Caenorhabditis elegans: one gene and its partners. The protein of the gene in region 3 purifies or fractionates together with the protein of the main gene of each other region. This does not show direct contact. Each region holds a gene or a part of one and is shown on either strand. Other genes may lie near its edges.

What was found.
Region 1: the proteins of pbs-7 (region 3) and acdh-9 fractionate together in Caenorhabditis elegans (co-fractionation; one large-scale study listed by BioGRID). This does not show direct contact.
Region 2: the proteins of pbs-7 (region 3) and pbs-1 fractionate together in Caenorhabditis elegans (co-fractionation; one large-scale study listed by BioGRID). This does not show direct contact.
Region 4: the proteins of pbs-7 (region 3) and rpn-5 fractionate together in Caenorhabditis elegans (co-fractionation; one large-scale study listed by BioGRID). This does not show direct contact.

Annotation. Positions count from the first base shown.
Region 1 is NC_003280.10:846,092-851,419, reverse strand, and holds acdh-9 (Isobutyryl-CoA dehydrogenase, mitochondrial), read left to right. Parts: upstream 1-2,816; 5' UTR 2,817-2,819; coding exon 2,820-2,886; intron 2,887-2,936; coding exon 2,937-3,037; intron 3,038-3,088; coding exon 3,089-3,261; intron 3,262-3,305; coding exon 3,306-3,521; intron 3,522-3,568; coding exon 3,569-3,731; intron 3,732-3,839; coding exon 3,840-4,072; intron 4,073-4,127; coding exon 4,128-4,230; intron 4,231-4,275; coding exon 4,276-4,449; 3' UTR 4,450-4,556; downstream 4,557-5,328. Other genes in the region: F28A10.5 (Methyltransferase FkbM domain-containing protein), read left to right, coding at 766-862, 911-1,293, 1,341-1,742; F28A10.13 (60S ribosomal protein L35), read right to left, coding at 2,210-2,311, 2,403-2,486.
Region 2 is NC_003282.8:1,708,020-1,712,154, reverse strand, and holds pbs-1 (Proteasome subunit beta), read left to right. Parts: upstream 1-2,409; 5' UTR 2,410-2,412; coding exon 2,413-2,490; intron 2,491-2,535; coding exon 2,536-2,735; intron 2,736-2,800; coding exon 2,801-3,251; 3' UTR 3,252-3,352; downstream 3,353-4,135. Other genes in the region: rpi-2 (Protein XRP2), read right to left, coding at 455-566, 755-876; K08D12.3 (CCHC-type domain-containing protein), read right to left, coding at 1,234-1,589, 1,789-1,888; pugs-4 (C6 domain-containing protein), read right to left, coding at 3,621-3,740.
Region 3 is NC_003279.8:8,694,363-8,698,907, forward strand, and holds pbs-7 (Proteasome subunit beta), read right to left. Parts: upstream 1,940-4,545; 5' UTR 1,931-1,939; coding exon 1,899-1,930; intron 1,853-1,898; coding exon 1,747-1,852; intron 1,696-1,746; coding exon 1,517-1,695; intron 1,472-1,516; coding exon 1,360-1,471; intron 1,283-1,359; coding exon 1,001-1,282; 3' UTR 843-1,000; downstream 1-842. Other genes in the region: K07A12.5 (Pre-mRNA-splicing factor SYF2), read right to left, coding at 1-112, 159-296, 412-523, 576-717, 761-782; F39H11.1 (Craniofacial development protein 1), read left to right, coding at 2,245-2,343, 2,392-2,624, 2,672-2,716, 2,792-2,954, 3,004-3,138; tlf-1 (TATA box-binding protein-like 1), read right to left, coding at 3,954-4,010, 4,087-4,153, 4,206-4,522.
Region 4 is NC_003280.10:4,694,796-4,700,247, reverse strand, and holds rpn-5 (PCI domain-containing protein), read left to right. Parts: upstream 1-1,953; 5' UTR 1,954-1,955; coding exon 1,956-2,045; intron 2,046-2,102; coding exon 2,103-2,288; intron 2,289-2,339; coding exon 2,340-3,047; intron 3,048-3,094; coding exon 3,095-3,271; intron 3,272-3,338; coding exon 3,339-3,650; 3' UTR 3,651-3,827; downstream 3,828-5,452. Other genes in the region: scc-1 (Sister chromatid cohesion protein 1), read right to left, coding at 1-1,031, 1,080-1,229, 1,276-1,527; F10G7.5 (MFS domain-containing protein), read right to left, coding at 3,967-4,176, 4,511-4,627, 4,674-4,781, 4,991-5,180, 5,233-5,452.

The DNA of each region.
Region 1 (5,328 bases), on a different chromosome or scaffold from region 3:
TCACTCGCCCCCATATGTAGGAGTATGGGGGGAGAGAGTATTATTATAACCACAGAAACACAACAATGTGCCACATAAGAGACAGGAGATAGTGCTCGCACTACCCCTGAATCACCAACCCTCTCAGAAGCACCTCTGCTCTTATCTGGGTCTCGCTAGACATCTCCAGTAGTTTGACCATTCTCAGCAACACTTTTGCTATTTTAGAATTTTTTTGCCCTCGCGGGGATCGAACCAAAAGGTCCGCGCGCCAATGGCGCGCGCTACCAGCTGTGCCATGCTGGAAGCGATTGAACTTCGACCAATAACAATATACAACATTTCTTTATTTGTCAAAGTGAAATAGTTTTGAACAAACACTATTCAAAAAAGTAATTTTAAATTGAAATTATATCAAATTCACGATTTGTTCCCAAATATTTTAAACTGAAACTCAATAAGAGAAGATCTCATATTCTCACTGATAATCCGAAACATGACATTTGTTTCAATGCTGTTTTCAACCTCAAGTTGTAAAATTCAAAAACCAAGCTGAAAATATGTTTTAAAAATCTAGAAACTACAATAATTTTTATGTGAATTTTTGGAAAAATCTCAAGCCAGACGGAGCACGCGCCTTGGCGCGTGCGAACGGCTGGTAAGTTATAAAATCACAAACACGTTTCACGTGAAAACACCCAAAAACTGATCCGTTTCTCTGTCAGTCCTTAGTTTACATTCATCGTCATCTCAACGATTCTTGTCACTGTTTAAGATAAGACTGGCATGCTCCGTAAACAAAATTCGAGCTCCTTGAGCATCTTCTTGCTAGTTCTGCTGCTTCTTATTTCAGTGTCTATTTTTATCACGTCCAATCAAATCAGTAAGTTTCAAAAGATCATAGTTATGCTAGTTACACGGGAAAATTCAGATCGTAAATTGGAACAATGCTCTTTGCCGAGCTTCACACGACAAGCTCGAGTGCTTAACCCAGCAGCTCTTTACACTTCCCATTCTGCAAAAGAGGTCCGCAAATCTTCTTTTAAATCTGCGGATCAGGCCCGGAAGCTACTGATTGCTGCAGCAAAGTTAAATGACAACAAGGACTTTTACGCGAAGGTGAAGACGGAAGCTCATTGTGAGAATATGGAAAGAATTGGAGAGTCAGGAGACGGGGGAAAGTATGTTTGCAATCCAAAAATGGTTCGAAATGGGTGCACGTTGATGTCATTGGGACTTAACAATCAAATAGAATACGATGAACACATCCACAAAGCTACAGGGAAGCAATGCATCATACTTGGAGCAGATATTGTGAGTTTAAAACGTTTGAATTTTAAATATTCACTCTGTAAATTAAGGGAGAACAAAACGAAAAGACGAAAGAGTCATACAAGAATATCAATGGCCAATTGTTCGTAGGAAAAATCCCGGACAATCTGCCCATCTCATCGATGCTCGAGAAGTCTGGTAGAAGTGAGATTGAGCTGTTGAAAATGGATATTGAAAATGGAGAGTTCACTGCTTTGGAGCCACTGATCAAGGACTATTTTGTTTGTCAGATCTTCATTGAAATTCATGGAACCCCGTTGAATCACTTTGAACTGCTCCAAACCATGGCAAAATACGGCTTCCGTATCTTCAACGTGGACCCTAACCCATATTGCGAGGCATGCTGTGAGTACAGTCTCATCAACGACTTTTGTATGGCACAGTTTGAAGTTACTCCGTTGGCCAGCATCATTCCACCAGTAACTGTATGAGTTTTTGTTTTGTTTTTATTTTATTTTATTTGTGTTTTAAATAAAGTTTATGTAAATTGAATTCTTGGTTTTATTTCGACACTAAACCAAATCAGTGCTTATTAACGTGTACTCATATTTTTCGGCTTTATCCGTTTCTAGTTGAAATTCTTTTTGACTCAATTTTGCAGCATCTAATTTTCACTGAGTTTCACAGCTTTTATTAATTGATGGAAAATTAGTAGAATTCGTTTTTTCTTAATCAAAAGTCTATATTGAAAAAAAATTATTACAATAATAAATCATTGATTTGACCTTTTTATGCTTTTTTCAAGGCAAAGCTATACCCAAAAAACTCACTAGTTCATCTGAAAATGAAACAATAACCAAACACAGATTGTTCAAGCCAAACATTTTATATTGATTTTACAAAAAAAAACTTTAACATACAAAACTTTTTTTGATTCATATGAAAAAGGTCGGTGAAATCATAGCTGCTGCAGACGCCTTGATGTTTGATGACGCATCACAAATGTTTTAGCATTGACTGCATCCGGAAGAACTAATTGGTGTTTGACTCTGATTGAAGTCTGAAATCTCTTTCATATAGGCTTGAGATTTAATCTAAATAGAACAAATAGAGGTTAAGGGGTCAGATCGGATTTTTATTTGAAAACTTACAAATTTTTTTTTCAATTTTTTCGAAAAGCTAGTGTCTGCAAGAGGTTTGCAGTTTCTATAAAACATCTTTTTCTTGAGGCCCATGATTTGCCAGTTGCTATATTCCTACTTGACTATGCCCTCTTGTTTTGCAGAGTTTTAATTTCAAATTTCAATACGTCAATCTATAAGAAACAAAAGGAGGAAACATCACTGACCACCGTTCTCTTTCCTTCTATTCGTCAGTTGTCTCGATGCGATCAAACTATCACTTTCCCCCTCTGCGTCTCTTTCATATTTTGCCTGCAACTCTCACTGCGTCTCTATCTCTCCCTCTCTTGCCTGCCAAACGGACAAAAAGTCCACTTTAGTTTTCTTCTACCACGTGCTCTCGGTTTTCGTGATTTTCGTTTGATTTTTTTTTCAAATTTTCAGCAGATGTTGCTACGAAATGTGCTCTCCAAAGGTCTTCGGCTCAGAAATTCCAGCAGTTACTGCTTGAGGCGTAGGTTTTATATTTTACAAGTTCAATTTTTTAAGAAAATATACTTTCAGCGGGTGTTGGACTCGAACGCGACGTCGAAGATGTTTTGGAAGCCGCCCATCAATTTGCCAAGAAAGAAATGTACCCAAAAATGGCAGATTGGGATAAGCAGGTAAGATTTTCCCAAAAACATTCTTTTAAAAAATGATTTGAAATTTTTCAGGGAGAGCTCCCGATGGACGTGCTCCGGAAAGCTGGAGAAATGGGATTCGGAGCCATTTATTGCAGTGGCGACCATGGAGGATCCGGGCTCTCTAGACTTCATGCTTCAGTAATTTTTGAGCAGCTTTCAATGGGATGCGTGTCGACGGCAGCTTATATTTCAATTCATAATATGTAAGTTAGCTTTAAAAAAAACTAGTGAACTATATATCTTATAGGTGCGCCTGGATGCTGGATACCTACGGCCCGGAGAAGCTTAAAGAGGACTTGCTCCCAGACATGGCTGTTTTCAAAAAGCTCGGATCCTACTGTCTCACAGAGCCAGACGCGGGCTCCGACGCCGCAAGCATCAGAACCACGGCTACCAAAAAAGGAGATTATTATGTTGTCAACGGATCGAAAGCTTTTATCAGTGGAGCAGGAACTTCAAATAAGTAGGTCTTTCTTGAGATATTCTGTTTAAATATTGTAAAAAATTTAGCTACTTCGTTATGATGCGGCAGGATGGTGCAGCTCCGGGAGCCAAGGGAATTTTCTGTCTTATGATTGAGGATGGAACTGAGGGATTCAGTTACGGGAAGAAGGAGGATAAGCTTGGGTGGAACTCACAACCAACAAGGATTTTGACTTTTGAGGATTGCAAGGTGAGCGTTTTAGAAGTTTTAATTTTAAGAAGTATTAATTGACTGTTTTCCGATAAAAGAAACGATTGCCCTGAGCATTTGTATAAATTTCCATTTTCCATTTTCCAGGTACCAATCACTAATCAAATTGGAAAAGACGGGTTCGGCTTCAACATCGCAATGGCTGGGCTCAACGGAGGACGCATTAACATTGCGAGTTGCTCACTAGGAGCTGCTCAAAGGAGCATGGACTTAGCTATTGAACATTTGAAATATAGAAAACAATTTGGTAAGAGCTTGGCAGACTTCCAGTATAACCAGTTCAAGCTTGCGGAGCTCGCCACAAAATTGTATACTAGCAGGTGAGATTTTCTTGTCAACTAGAAACTTTTATAAAAAATTTGAACTTATTTTCAGACTAATCGTTAGAAACGCCGCGGAGCAACTAGACAATGATGATCCGGAGAAGGTGGCTCTTTGTGCAATGGCGAAGCTTCACGCCACTGATAATTGTTTCGATGTGAGTAATTTTTCAGCCGACATTTGACAAAGTTTCTTGTTCCAGGTCGTCAACGGAGCTCTGCAGATGTTCGGTGGCTACGGATTCCTGAAAGATTATCCGGTTCAACAGTACCTCCGCGACATCCGAGTTCACCAAATCCTTGAAGGAACCAATGAAATGATGAGATTGTTGATTAGCAGGGACCTGCTCACTAAGGATGTATTCTGGAGCTCCTGAGCCATATTTGTCTCCAAGGAATTTTAGAAATGGGTATTTCCAATTGCTCATGGCATTTTGCTATTTATTACAAACTTTTATTGAATATAAATGTTTTAGATTTTCCTTTTTTCTGCACAAAAACGAAATTAAAGACTAAAAATTAATGCTCTTTTATTTGTAAGCATATTCTATCACAATTTTCTTTTCACTGTGTGGATAGGAGCTTCACGTCCCTAGAACATCACAACCAAGCATCGTTCCTGATCCCGGTAATGAGTAGGCTCATATATTTTGGCCCAGTTGGCAAAGCAGGACCGATAAATTTTGGTGGATTCTCAGCAACTCCATGAAGCCATTCAAAGACTTGAACACGAGCACATGGATCATTTTCATTCATTGGTTGGTCGTAGATATTCACTCAAGAGTTGATCCAAACTGCCCGAAAAGTTTGGGGTGCTCAACTTCAATTGTTTCAAAGCCGATCCTGTCAACTGTCGGCAACAATTTTACCAAACTACGTTTTTACCTAATTCTAATAATTGGGTTCAAATGATTTATTGTTTCAAAAAATAAATTTATAGTTCTAAGACATTTTGAGTTCCGAATCTTTTGTCAAACTTTCAGTTTCATAATCTAGCTCTAAACCTTCCAGATCGCCGTCTTCTCCAGCAGCAGCTCTTGCACAGCAGCAAATTCCGGTACAAACGCAGGAAACAATGGATCCAACAATTCCACAGAAAAACAGAAAAACTAGAATGCAAATGACGGCAATTGCAACTTCAACCGTCATGTACCACTCGCAGTAGTTGGTCTGCTCACAGCATTCTTTCCAGAGAGCGTTGGTACTTTTGCAGGCGTCATCAAGACAGTAGTCGCTGCTAGCGGTGTCCGAAATAG
Region 2 (4,135 bases), on a different chromosome or scaffold from region 3:
TTTTATCGATTTTCCATAATCTATTAAAAATTTAGAGTTTTTTTTTAATATTTTAGTTTTTAAAAAGTAAATAAACATATTTTTATATGATAGAAAAACGATGAAAAATTAATAAGAACCCCGGAATAACAAAAGTTTGAAATTACAGTATGTATGCAGTACTCTTTAAAGGCACACACGTTTTTGTGTTTTAAAAAAATTGCCGTGTCGAGAACGGGTACCGTATTTTCACATCAAAAATCGGAAAATTTAGTATACGGGAGATTGATAAAATCTTATTGAAAATTAAATGTTTTAAAAAATGCGGAAGGGAATTTCAAATTCCGCTCTTTTCTTTAACGATATTTTTATTTTTCGGAAATTGCTGAGACTCCTTTTCCACTTTAAATTATTGTATCAGTTTATAAAAGAAATTATCGGGTCTCGCCACGATACGTGCGCCTTTAAACCGTACCGTGCAATTCTCCATTTGAAGTGGTCCACCATCTTTCGACTCCTTTTTCAGAGTCGTGTTATGGATATTCGCAATTGTAAAGTCTTCGGCATTAACTTTTTCTCGACGATCCCTTAAAAATTAATTTTTCGGGTCCCGCAGCGATGCGCCTTTAATCTTTTTTTGAATTCCAGACCTAAATATCTAAAGAAACGAAACCTAGAAACCTCAGAGAGGCGCTATCAAAATGATTGCAACAGGTCTTGCAGCGAAATCGAATTTTTTTAAAAAATTCACTGCGAGACCACAAATTCCACTTACCACGAATACTTTGGAGGTTCACCTCCCTCTTCCGGTTTCGGCACCGCATCCTCGCTGACCTTGTAGCGATCCTCACGTTTAGACCGGCGCCCAAAAAGCTTTTTCGAAAAACAACAGCTCATTGTTCGAGGCTCCCGCAGAATATGCGAAAGTGAGTGAATGAGCAGCGCGAGTTGCTCGGCGAGAGCGCGCGTTGCTATGGAAACCCATGTGAGAGCATCACGTCGCCTTCACTTCCGATGCGAAAGAGGAGGAGCGCAAGACGACGACTTTAATCAACAATTTATTACCACTTTCGTTCAAGAGGTTCAGAGGTTGGGATGGGGGATAATAGCTGCAACCAGCATTCACATATAATATTTGAGATGCGGGGAAGAGGATTATTGGAAAAAGGAGTGAACGAAAGTTTCAGTTGAATACATTATTTCGAGTTACAGAACAATGAAAAGACAACGAAAATGGGGGGAATGATGATTGATTTAGTTGGTCTGGCTTGGGCAGTCGCGGGAGATGTGTCCGGTCTCCTGGCACTGGTAGCAACGCTTCTCCTCGGCCGAGCCACTCTCGGTGCACTCGCGGGAAATGTGCCCGGAGCGTCCGCAATTGTAGCACTTTTGTCCGCCGAAGCTTCTGCCTTCTCCACCGCGGCCTCCGTAGCCACCGCTTCCTCCCTCAGATCTGGCGGATGGGCAGTCACGAGAGTAGTGTCCACGTCCTCCGCAGTTGTAGCACGATCCACCGCCGCCGCCACCTCCACGTTGTCCTCCTCCGGATCCTCCCTTGGGGCAATCGCGAGAGAAGTGTCCAGTCTCTTGGCAGTTGTAGCAGGTGGATCCTGAAATAACATGAAATTAGTCTCGAGATTTCCGCTGTAAATTTATCATCAAATAACTCCTAATCTCCGCCAGCTTAAACACATTTCTCTTCGCCTCCACTTCTCCAGAACTTCAAAAATTATTGCAATTCGGTAAGAAATCAAGAGATAATGTATTTACCTAAATCAACTCAACACCCCAAATTCAACACCACTCCACCTCCTCCACCTCCTCTACGTCCACCATCGGACTCGCCATTCGGGCAGTTGCGGGAGATATGTCCCGGCTGTTGGCACTTGTAGCAATTTCTGTCCGACATTACTGCAAATAATTGATTTTAGAAAAAAGAAATTATCAGTTGCGAGGAATTACAAAAAAATAAACGGTTGAATGTCACAATTTCAATCAAAAATGGCGAAAATTCAGAGAAACAAAAATCCAAGACAGTGAGGGCGAGAAATCATGGATATTCAGTGACTAACATGACAAAAACTAATAAATACATGGAAAACTAGTTATAAAAACCAGTTTTAACGGGAAAAAAGTCGGCGAAATCAGAAAAAATCAAAGAAAATGTGGCCAGAACGTGTCGATCGTCCCAAAATCGAATGTTGGCCGCGTGCCAGGAAAGTTAGATGTGCAGGCAGTCCGGTGGAGCGCCAATTCAAACGTCATTTTTGCTGCATTGAGATTTGATGACAATGTTTTTTCTGCTCGGGTTTCTCGTTTTTAATGATTTTATTCTGAAAAATAACTACTAAATTTGTTTTTATACATTATTATTGATTTCTTAACGTTAAAATAACTTTTAAAAAATGAATTTAAGTCGATATTTTGCAGATAATGGATACTATGCGAGATGAGAAGCGCAAAGCCATTCCGGCAATCGGGTTCTATCCACAGGAAGAAATCAGCACTGGAGTGAGATTTTTAAATTGAAATTTCCACTAAAAGCTCAATTTTCAGACCACTCTCATCGCTATGGAGTACAACGGTGGAGTTGTCGTCGGAACCGACTCGAGAACCAGCGCCGGCTCGTTCATCACCTCCCGTGCCACCAACAAAATCACCCCGATCACCGATAATATGGTTGTGTGCCGTTCTGGATCTGCAGCGGACACTCAAGCGATCGCCGATATTGCCAAGTACCATATTGATGTTTATACGTAAGGAATTTTCAGTTGTTTTAAAATTAAATAAAATAATTTTTTTAAATAATCACTTTTTTCAGCATGACAGAGAACAAGCCAGTGACAATCTACCGCTCGAGCCAGATTTTCCGCCAATTCCTCTACAACTACCGCGAGCAGCTCTCCGCCTCAGTGCTCGTCGCCGGCTGGGATGAGGAGCTCGGCGGCCAGGTCTACGCAATCCCAATCGGAGGATTCGTGTCCCGCCAGCGATCGACAGCTTCCGGCTCCGGTTCCACATTCGTGCAGGGCTTCCTCGACAGTCAATGGAGACCAAACTTGACGCTCGAGGAGTGCAAGGCGATCGTGAAGCAAGCCGTCGGACTCGCCACCTTCCGTGACGGATCCTCCGGCGGAGTTGTCCGTCTCGCCGTGATCAACAAAGCCGGCTCACAGTTCGAGCTGTTCCGTCCCGACAAACCAGGATTCCCATTCGTGCAGACACCAACTCCACATCTCTCTTTCCCACCGCACATCGAACAAGTCCTCTAAAATCGTTTCGTTTTTCGATCTTCTATTGTATTTTCCCCTGTGCGACTATACTGCTAAGTTATTTGATTTCCCTCAATATTTATGAAAATTCACACTTGTCATCATTTTCGTTTCAATGCTGCTGCTGCTACCGCTGCTATGTCAAAAGTGCAGTAATTGGTTAGCCAAGCTACGCAATTGACCGGTATTCTCCTCCGGGAAACTGGTCACGTGGAACGTCAAGCGATTTATTAGAGTTAATTTAACAGAAAGAGTTCATAAATTGCGAAAATATACACGTGGCAGGTTATGGAAAGACGAAAATATTGCAATGGGCGAGTATCTCTAGGGAGGAGAATATTCAAAAAAAAAATTGGGGGAAATTAGAAATTAAAATCTGCAATCGACGAACTGCAAAATTCTGCCAAGGATCGTCCACGTGTACTGGGAGCCGCCAACGTTTGTGCAAGTGGCGAGCAGAGACGGAGCCGCTGAGATTGAAGCTCTTTGCTGAAAAATTAAGAAAAATAAAAATAATTGTTCCTTGTGGTTTCTTAGTTTTCACAGCTGAAAAGATACGGAAAGTCTGCGGATTTTCAGCGAAAATTGTAATTTTTTCTAAAATTCTAAAAAAATCCCCGAAATTTCGAAAATCAGAGGAAATTTAAGAAAAAAAAAATCGATTTTGGAGCCAAAAATGCGTTACCCGGTCTTGACACGATTATTTTCCGTTAAATACAAACGGGTGTGCGCCTTTAAAGGGTACTGTAGTTTCAAATTTTTGTTTCTGCGCGATTTTCATCGATTTTTCATAGTTTTTCGTACTTTTTACTTTACATTTGTAATTTTTTAAAAATGAAATACTATTTTGAATCGAAAAATAACAAAAAATCGTTGAAAATTCC
Region 3 (4,545 bases):
TCTGATCGTACTCTGCTTGGGACTTTTTTATGTTGTCCTGTTTATCTTTCCTTTGCTCCAAACTGATTTTCTGTTTCTTACGAAGAGCGTCCAGTTCCTTTTCACGAGCTGCCTAAAGTTCATGGTTAAAGTAAATTTCTCTATAATCTCTATGTTACGTGATCACGAATCGACACAAACTTTTTTTGTGGAGCCAAAGTGGATAAGTAGTATTCTTTCAATCGTCCAAATTCTACATCAACTTTCACTCCTTGACGATTGACAACCGTATTGGCTCGTTGCATCTTTGGATGGCGCTGAATTTCAAGAAATAATGTATTTCTTTTTAACTTTTTAGATGGATAGTAAAAACCGTAATTAAGCACTTCCTTTGCGCGGCGAGATATATATATATATATACTGTATGCTTACCACGTCTGAATTTTTCGATTTCGAAACGTATTGAGACTGCGTATGAAAGATTTCAACTACTTGCTCCTTTCGAAATTCTTCCCAATTTTTCAGTTGTTTCTGAGCATCCTTCCTGGAAACCAAATCAGATAAGTTATTACATATACATCAATTTATTTAATTACTTGTGAGTTTCATACTGATCATCACTCAGTTTATACCGCTGCTGCATCTTCTTTTTGTAGCTCATCTTCTTCGCCTGTTTCTTTTCATAATCAGATTTCTGTTTATCAGGCGATGGTGATAAACTGAGCTTTTGGAGTTTACCTGAAAGCGCTCGATTTTACTTTAAACCAAAAACTCATCATACTTTTTAAACCAGAGAAATTCATGCTCGCTATTTTTGACTCGAGCACTTGTGAAATGATGCGTGTGAATACTTAGACGTGAATAGAAGGATTAAATGGAAGTTTATTTATCGACTTCACGCGAAAATAAATAAAATTTACACCGAAAACGTGGGTTGGAGAGAGTAAAATGTTTTGAAAAGAAGGATACAAATAAGTTAAACATGGAGATACTGAAACGCATCCTGCACACCGGGGAAAACTTATTCATATTGACAGTTAGTCTCGGCAATCGACCAGTCACCAATAATCTTCTCTTCTTTACCCAAAACGACACCTTCTGTCGCATCAACACGTCCGATTTCGAACTCATTGTCAGCGACGCAGTCGTGGTAGAGAGTAAGTTCAAGCGATTTGCGAAGCACGGCTTCTGCCTCTTCACGGGAGAGGTCTTCTCCCTTCTTTCTCCACTCATCTTCAACAGCTTGGTTGAGGAGGAACGCTCCAAGTCCAGTTGCAATGTGCTTCACTTGATATGCGCATCCCTGAAATTTAGAATAATTATTATGTGATTATTTAATCATGAGATTCTGATCCGGCAAGTTAACGCTTTCAAGTTTACCTTCTGAGTAATGACACCGATGAAAGGTGTGCTAGTCTCCTTGTTGTTCTTCTCCTCCTCTTCGACTCCGGCGACAACAAGTGTGTTCCACACTGGGTTCATCTTGCAACGTCTGAAATTTTTTACTTAAACTTTCAATTTAATTAGGAAAACAGACTTGGCGTAGAGAAGGCTTGTGAGGTATCCGTGGAGAGCTTTTGGTCCAATATCCTGATCGAAGCGCTTCCAGAGAAGAACCTGACGCTCGATCACATTTTGAAGCCAGTGGAAGTCAGCGTGATCTCCTCCGAAGGCAATGAGAACATTATCATTGACCTTGTATTGACGAGAAACATTCTGGAAACAAATATTATGAAAATCCACTTTCAGCTGAACGGAAATTCAAACCTTGTAACGAGCCATTTTTCCATAGGAAACAACTCGATCAGTAAGGACAACAACCCCAGTTTTATACTGGAGAGCGATAACCGATGTTCCGGTACAAGTAGGATTCCTGAAAAATTGAGTTAATTCAAACGAATATAGGTTTAATGACTTACAGTGTGCGCTGGACTTCGTCGTGAGCATTCATTTTGGTTCTGAAACAATATAAATGAAGTTTTTGAAGGGAGTGCTTTGAAAAAATGAAAGGAAGTGAATTTCGACAATGAAATGCAAAAATGGCGGCTAAGTCATCATAAAGCATGTGCGCTCCGTCGAATTTTACACTGAATACCACGCACAATTGCGTACTTCAATAAGAAAAATTATCTCGCGCTACTTTTTTTGAGATAATATTATAATATAAATTAATTCATATTTTATAAATATATTAATTCATATTTTATTCTTTTGAATTCTCACTGAAATTGTGAAACTATTTAAAATATAAATTGTTTCAGAAAAATGACCTCGGAGCTTAAAAATAACGAAGAAGACTACAACTCATCGTCCGATGAAGATTACGATCCAACAAAGGATACCGATTTTGATCCAAAGGATGAAGTAAGCATTCCTAGATATCGCCCTTTTATTGCTCATTCTCCTCAACAGATCGATGATCAAGAAGAATGCGAAGATGGAATTGACGAAGAAGTTGAACATCTGAAAAATGAAAAACAAAGTGACGACCATACATCAGAAAAGGCAAACAGTACTGAAGGAAGTGTTGATGTGGATGCGATATTTGCAGAATTAACTGGGCTAGCACCGAAACCAGTTGTCAACGATACATCAAGCAAGAATATTCCAAAAACTGAAGAAAGGGTGTATCCAAAATCAGCAGCGTATGTTTGAAACAAGTAGAAATAACTTTTAAAAATGTATTTTACAGATCTGCATCCAACGAGTCTACAAATCAGAAGGTTTATCCGAAAAAGTGAGTTGACATGAGTTTTTATTTGATACAAATTTAAAAACAACTTTTTCTTATTTTTCTAATAATTTTTTTCAGAACGGAAACAGCTGGAACATCGTCTGAAAGTAGCATTGTACCCGGAAAGAAAAGAGTCGGCTTGCTTGATGCTGCAAAATCACTGTCGAAGCGTTCTAAAATTTCTGTTTTGGAGAAATCTGATCGAGATTGGAAAGATTTTACGACGCAAAATAATTTAAAAGTATGTTTCTTTAAGTTTAAGGTTTTTGAATAAATTGTTTGTTTTTCAGGAAGATTTGGAATCTCATAACCGAGGGAAAGGCGGTTATCTGAACAAAATGGACTTCTTAAACCGAGCTGATAATCGCCAGTTTGAAAAAGAACGAGCGTTCCGTGCAACAGCTCGTAAGGACACTGGACAGTAAATAATTCTTTATTTTTTCAATTGAATCTTTTTTGTGATTTTCTGGTTTCTTTGACAATTCGTAACTTTGAAAAATTCATAAACCTTCTGTAAAGATACGGACATTGAAATTTAATCATGAACATATTTAATGGACAAAAACGAGAAAAATGGTAAAGGGAGACAATAACTAAATCTAGAAAAAGGATGAATCATGAAAAGGGAATTGTAGAAAAATCACATTCTAAAATAATTAAAATGAAATACAACAACTTTGGGAAAAGGTAGGTTACAGTTTTATAATACGAACTCGTTTGTTTTTAAGGACTTTTTGTGGAATTTTTGCGAATTGTTTCAGAACAAAAAAAAATCTGCTACTTGTTTTTAAAACTGGGATTCATGAGGAAAAATAGATAATGGAAAATAAGGAAAAATTAAGATTTGCTGGGCTTGAGGGGAACATGATGAAGACATGAAGTAGAGAGCACATAGTGGGATGTGGAGAGAGAAAGAGCTAGAAGGAAGCGAGAATTGTTTTTCTGATCATTGTGTTAATTTTACAAAAAAATGGATAGGAGATTGTGTTGATTCGATGATGACTTATGATGTTGATGATGGTAACGGCAAACAGAGAAAGAAAAGAACAGGAAAAAAGCGGATAAAGCATGAATTTTGAAGCACACAGAACAATTGAAAGAACAAGATATACTGGAAGATAGAAAGCTAAAACTAGAGAAATTATGACGAGATGATGTAGAAAGGTAATCAGATAATGATTGCAAATTGAGATTTTTTAAAAATTACAATGAATGGGTAGGCTGCATCAATTAGGTACAACTATTCTTCTAAATCGAGCTCATCATACAGATCTTCATCTTCATCAGAGAAATAGACCTGAAAGAAAAATGTGTTATTTTAAAATTAAATTTGTATTATTTTCAAACCACCGAAACACTTTTTATTTGCATACCTGGTTATTGATAACTCCAGAATTTCTATAATTGCTGTCATCAAAGCGTTCGCGTTTGATTGGTGGTCTAAAAAATTATTTTATTTTTACATTGAAGCCAGAATTTTACAAATTTTTACCCTCTGTTAACAGGTGCCTTTCGTTTCCTCTTCTTCTGAGCAGCGACATTTCCTTTGGCTCGTTCGAGACATCGGAATTCTAGAACAATTGGATAGATCTTTGAGAGTACTTCGAGAACATCGGCTTCCGATTGAGCTCCAGTGACTGTAATTGAGCCAGTCGTATGAATTCGAAGAGTAGCTTTTGGTGTCACAGATCTCCAAACAAGACCAACGGAAAGTTCAGGCTCATATGTGGATTCTGATGGATATTTTGCTGCGACTTCTTCGATTTTGATTCCGAATGGAAGACGGCACGTGGCCAGAACGTTGTTCACCTAAATTCCACATAAACTTAATA
Region 4 (5,452 bases), on a different chromosome or scaffold from region 3:
AAGTTGTCACCAAAGTCCATTTCCTGAGCTGGTTGTCTGTCATCATCATCATCCATGCGCACATCATTAAAGAATTCATCAACGGCTGGTCCCTGCGCTTGAATATCTTCTTGAATGTCCTCATTGAGGTTCAAGTCCTCCCATGGCTCAGCTTGAGCTTCCATTGACGGAGTGAAACTCGAACTATCGCTCAACTCTTGCATGGTGTAATTGAGATCGAACTCTCGGGTGACCAAACATCTCCTGTATCTTTGAAGGAGTTCTCTGTTGAACATTTTGCATCCAGGTTCACGGCTGAGGTGTTGAAGATCTCCGCTGACGCATAAATTGAACATCTTTCTGGTAGGAGGCGCCATTTCAACTACTCGCATCGTATCGGAGAAGTCTTCTTGTTGCTCTCGGAAAGCGTCGTTTGAAATCATAGTTTCAGCATCGACAATCAGCTTTCTCGCTTTTCTCTGACGTTTTTTCCGTCCTTCCATGTGCTCCACATCTAGAGGCTCCAGGGCAAATGACTCGGGACTTTGTGGTCTCGATGGCTCAACGTTTTCAGGCTCGAACGGTTGATAGTCAAAGTCCATACCATCGTCGTTTTGAACATCTGCGACAGCATGCTCTCTGACGGGATGAATCATTGAGCTGAACATATCAGCAGGCCCAACACCACCATCGTTTTCCAGTGTTTGATTCTCAACCTTCAGGTTCATTTCAGGCATGAAATTTCCGCCTTCCTGATTGTCAAAAATAAGATTTGGACGTGTTGGTCCTTCGGAGAAAATCACACTATCCGCATCTATACGGGAAATTTCCGTTCCATTTGCAGCCACATCACGATCTCGTTCGACTTCCATCAACGATTCTGGCTGAGGAGTGGGGCGCAAAGACAAAGGTTCCACCGATCCGTAGAGATGATCGAGTTGCCAAGATTCTCCTTCGTCACCGAACCCATCGAAATCTGCGTCAATGTTGAACTCGACATTGAAATTGACGGTTTCTTTCATGGTGATGTCTTCACGACGGCTCACATTAGCCTGAAACAGCGATTAAATTGAATGTGAATTGCTTTTAATACAACGCACCATAATGAGCTGCTCATTGTAGTCGGCATCGTGGAACTCGGGCACTGTGATATTGTACTTATCAATGAAGTTTGAGAAATCCTCTTCAATTTCTGCATTCTCTGGAATGTCGACTTCAAAACTGAATCCGTTGCGGAAGTTAATCTTCATCTGAAAATTTACTTTGTTTTTGTCGTTCTAAATTATCTTTAATTACCTTTTGATACGCTTCATTTGTATCAGCCAGAAGATATCGTGTCTTCTTCGAGTAGATTCTCACGATTCCAAGGAGAAGATGTCCAACTGTTCGGAGCGCCATTTTAACCTTGGGGCGAATGACTTCCTCGATCGCTTGGGGAACATCTGTTTCGAAGATTTGCGCCTTTGTCAGCTTTTTTTCCCAGTGAGCTGCCAGCCACACTTTTGCCAACGGTCCCTTTTTGGCGAGAACGAACTGTGCATAGAACATCTGAAAATAGCATGAGATAAACAATAGATTGTTAACGTCAAAGAGATCATAGATTAGAAAATTCCTGAGAAAACATGATAAAAGAGCAAAAACTGGAAGAATAAGTATGTTCAAATGATCACAATGAGAGAAGCAATAGTTTTAAAATGAGGCAAACATTGAAAATGCGGTAAATTTCTGATGATGAAGACAAAACGCTCGAAAAATCGTTTTCAAATATTTTTGTCTTCCTCCTCCTGGGTCTTACCGCGATTTGAGGTACGGTAACACTCGTTTCAGCTGTGCGGATTGTCACTCAAGAAATAATTATTTTCTACTCTCTACCTTTAAAATTTTTGTGCATTTAAAAGTAATATTTTTATAGGTTTTGAAGTTATTTTTCAATTAAAAAAGCAGAACTATATATTCTAATTATTGTTATTCCAGATATGGCCGACAGACGCGAACCGATCCCGGTTGACCCGGTCGATGTCGGAGAACTAAGCGAACTTGACAATTTGGCTCATTTGGCCGCTCATGTAAGTTTTAAAACGTTTTCGAGAATTTATCTGTAGATTTCATTAAATGATTTTCAGGGTGGAGATGGTCGTTTGTTCAAAATGGAGCAGGACTACTCGAAACAAGTCGACGAAGCACTTCTGAAAGCCCGAGATATCGCTCAAAAGGACGCTGTTGCTGCTGTAGAGAGTCTGAACAACATCGAAAAGCTCACTCGTCTTGGAGCTGACATGAAGAGCAATACACGCGTTGTTCAATATATGGTGATAATACTTTTCAAATTAAAAAAAAAATATTAATTCTGATATTTGCAGACGAAGCTTTGTTTCGAAGGGCAGAAATGGGATCTTCTTATGGAAACAATCATGACGCTTTCAAAGAAAAGACTTCTCATCAAAATGGCTATCGCAAAGATGGTCCGTGATGCTGTCGCAATGATTGACAAAATGCCAACCGAGGACCTCAAGATGAAGCTTATTGAAACTCTTCGCACTGTTACAGCTGGAAAGATCTATGTGGAAGTGGAACGTGCTCGCCTCACCTCGATGGTTGTGAAGAAGTTGGAGAGAGAGGGAAAGCTTGACGAAGCTGCAACCATGCTTCTTGAACTTCAAGTGGAAACATATGGCTCCATGGAAATGCGAGAGAAGGTGCAATACCTTCTCGAGCAAATGAGATATTCTCTCGTTCGTAATGATTTTGTGCGAGCCACTATTATCTCTAAGAAAATCAATATCAAGTTCTTCAACAAGTCAGACGAAGATGAAGTACAGAACCTGAAGCTGAAATACTACGATTCGATGATCCGTATCGGACTTCACGATGGAAACTATCTGGACGTGTGCCGTCATCATCGTGAAATTTATGAGACGAAAAAGATTAAAGCTGATTCAGCCAAGGCGACCTCACATCTTCGTTCTGCCATTGTCTACTGTCTTTTGGCTCCGCACACAAACGAGCAATGGGATCTCCTCAACCGAATTGCCATTCAAAGAGAATTGGAAACCGTTCCAGACTACAAGGTAAGCTGTGCGATTTGAATTTAATCTAATTATTGTTTTCTTTTCAGATCATTCTGGATCTTTTCATCAACCAAGAACTCATTTCTTTCAAAGGAACCATTGTCGCAAAGTACGAGAAGCTTTTAAGACGTGGAACAACTAGCTCACCAGACACCGGAATTTTCGACAAATCAACTGAAGGAGAGAAGCGGTGGTCTGATTTGCACCTTCGTGTTGGAGAGCACGTAAGTTAAAATTTTAATAAGTTAAAAACCTGTTAAAATTTATAAATTTTTATTTGTATTTTTACAGAACATGCGTATGATTGCCAAGTACTATACTCAAATCACTTTCGAACGTCTCGCTGAGCTCCTCGACTTCCCAGTTGATGAAATGGAATCATTTGTGTGTAACCTCATTGTTACCGGTCAGATCACCGGAGCAAAACTTCATCGCCCTTCCCGTATTGTCAATCTTCGTTTGAAAAAGGCAAATGTTGAGCAATTGGATGTATGGGCGAGCAACGTGCACAAACTGACGGATACATTGAACAAAGTTTCCCATCTCATTCTGAAAGAGCAAATGGTTCACAAGAACTTGGATCTCGCGGCCCCACGGGCATAAATTTAACCACTTTTTTGTGTATAATTCCGCCATCATGTGTATTTTTCTTATTGATGTTCGCCCTCCCCAATTTCTTCTTTTTCGTGCACCTTCTCCGGTTTTATCATTAATTTATTAATACTGTCGATCGATTTCATCCTTTCACTCTTCGGTTTGATAGTAAACGTATACGTGCTCAATGTGTATTACTAGCTTTTGAAGAAACAATTTTATGGAACAAGTTGTAAGATAGAGGTAACGGGAAACAAATGGATCATCACAGGTTTGAGTTGATTTTCTAGGAAATTGATAAGAAGCTATAACATGAGTGCACCAATTACTGATAAACTTGATATCCATTCTCATCCTCTTCCAAATGTTCTCGTTCAGCAGAAACCAACAACTGAGCTAAATCGGTTTTGTGGACGATAAAAGTGAGGAAAAGTGAGGTCAACATGAAGCATCCACAAACAATGAAAAGATATTCAAATCCGATTTCAGAAAGAGCATGTGTTGAAATGAGTCCAGCGATTAGTCCGGCGACACTCTGAAATGTATTCATGTATTCGCGAATACGGTACCCGGTCTCGAAACGAGAAATTTGTGTTAAAAACAAATAGGTAAGCGCCTTTAAAGTGTACTGTAGTTTCAAACTTTCGCTACTGCGACATTTTCATCGTTTTTCTCACATTTTTTTAAATGTATGTGTTTAAAATGTTTTATTTCATTTATAAAAATTCCGCATCGACGCAAGTTTGAAAGTACAGTACTCTTTAAAGGCGCACATCCCTTTGCATTTAACAAAATTTTGTCGTGTCAAGACCGGGTGCTTTTTCACAAAAACCGGAAAATTTCGCATCCCGGTAATAAGTTCCACTTACCACTGCACACTGCAAAAATCCATACATAACACTGAAATTCGCCTTACTAAAACACTTGTGCGTGATGTAAGGAAAGATTGAAAATGTGCCTCCGATGCAGGAAAACATCAGACAAACCTGAAAAACTGTAATTTCAATGAGAAAAAAAAAGAAAAAAACGAACGGTGGCCAAAAACAGAACATCATTGGATACCATTTTCACCAGTGGCATCGAAAATGCCAAAACTGCTCCCAGGCTGCACACAATCGACATGGAAAATTGATAGGATGTCTGAAAATTTGATTTGAAATTAATTATTGGAAAATCAAGACCGCTCCGCCTTCAAACGTTGGGTCTCGTTAGGTATTAGCGGTAAGAATTTTTAAAAAACATGTTTTCGGTATTTCTTTAGAGTTTAACTGTTTTGTCGCCAATACCCAACGAGACCCGACCCTTGGGGGCGTAGCGCGAATTTTTCTGCGACTCCATAATAAAATAACCGTATCCGCAATTGCACCCCAAAAAACTCTGCTCCCAGCGTTGAAAATCGAGGATATCGATCCGATCAAGCTCAAAAAGAAGTCAGAATCGATAAATTGTTGCCCATAAGCTTTGTAGAGACCACTTGTGAGTTGGACCCAAACGGCATTGCATGTCAACGACAGGAATAGTACTAGGAAAGTTGTGGTTCTGAAAAAAAAACCCGTTATTTGTCTGTATAATGCCTCGCGGCAGGACTTACCGTAACTGCGGCCAAACCCTCGCCTGTTCCACGCGAATTTCACTGTTCGTCCCAATCAAATTCTCCGTTTCAACGTGAATATCGCCTTCCGGTTGCCCGATAAAAATGAGCCCAATCGATTGAAAAACCGTAAAAAAGATGGACATCACGATGAAAACGTAGGGAACCCGTTCCAAAAGATCCTCTTGAGTGAAGAATCCTTGATCGTTGACACGATAAT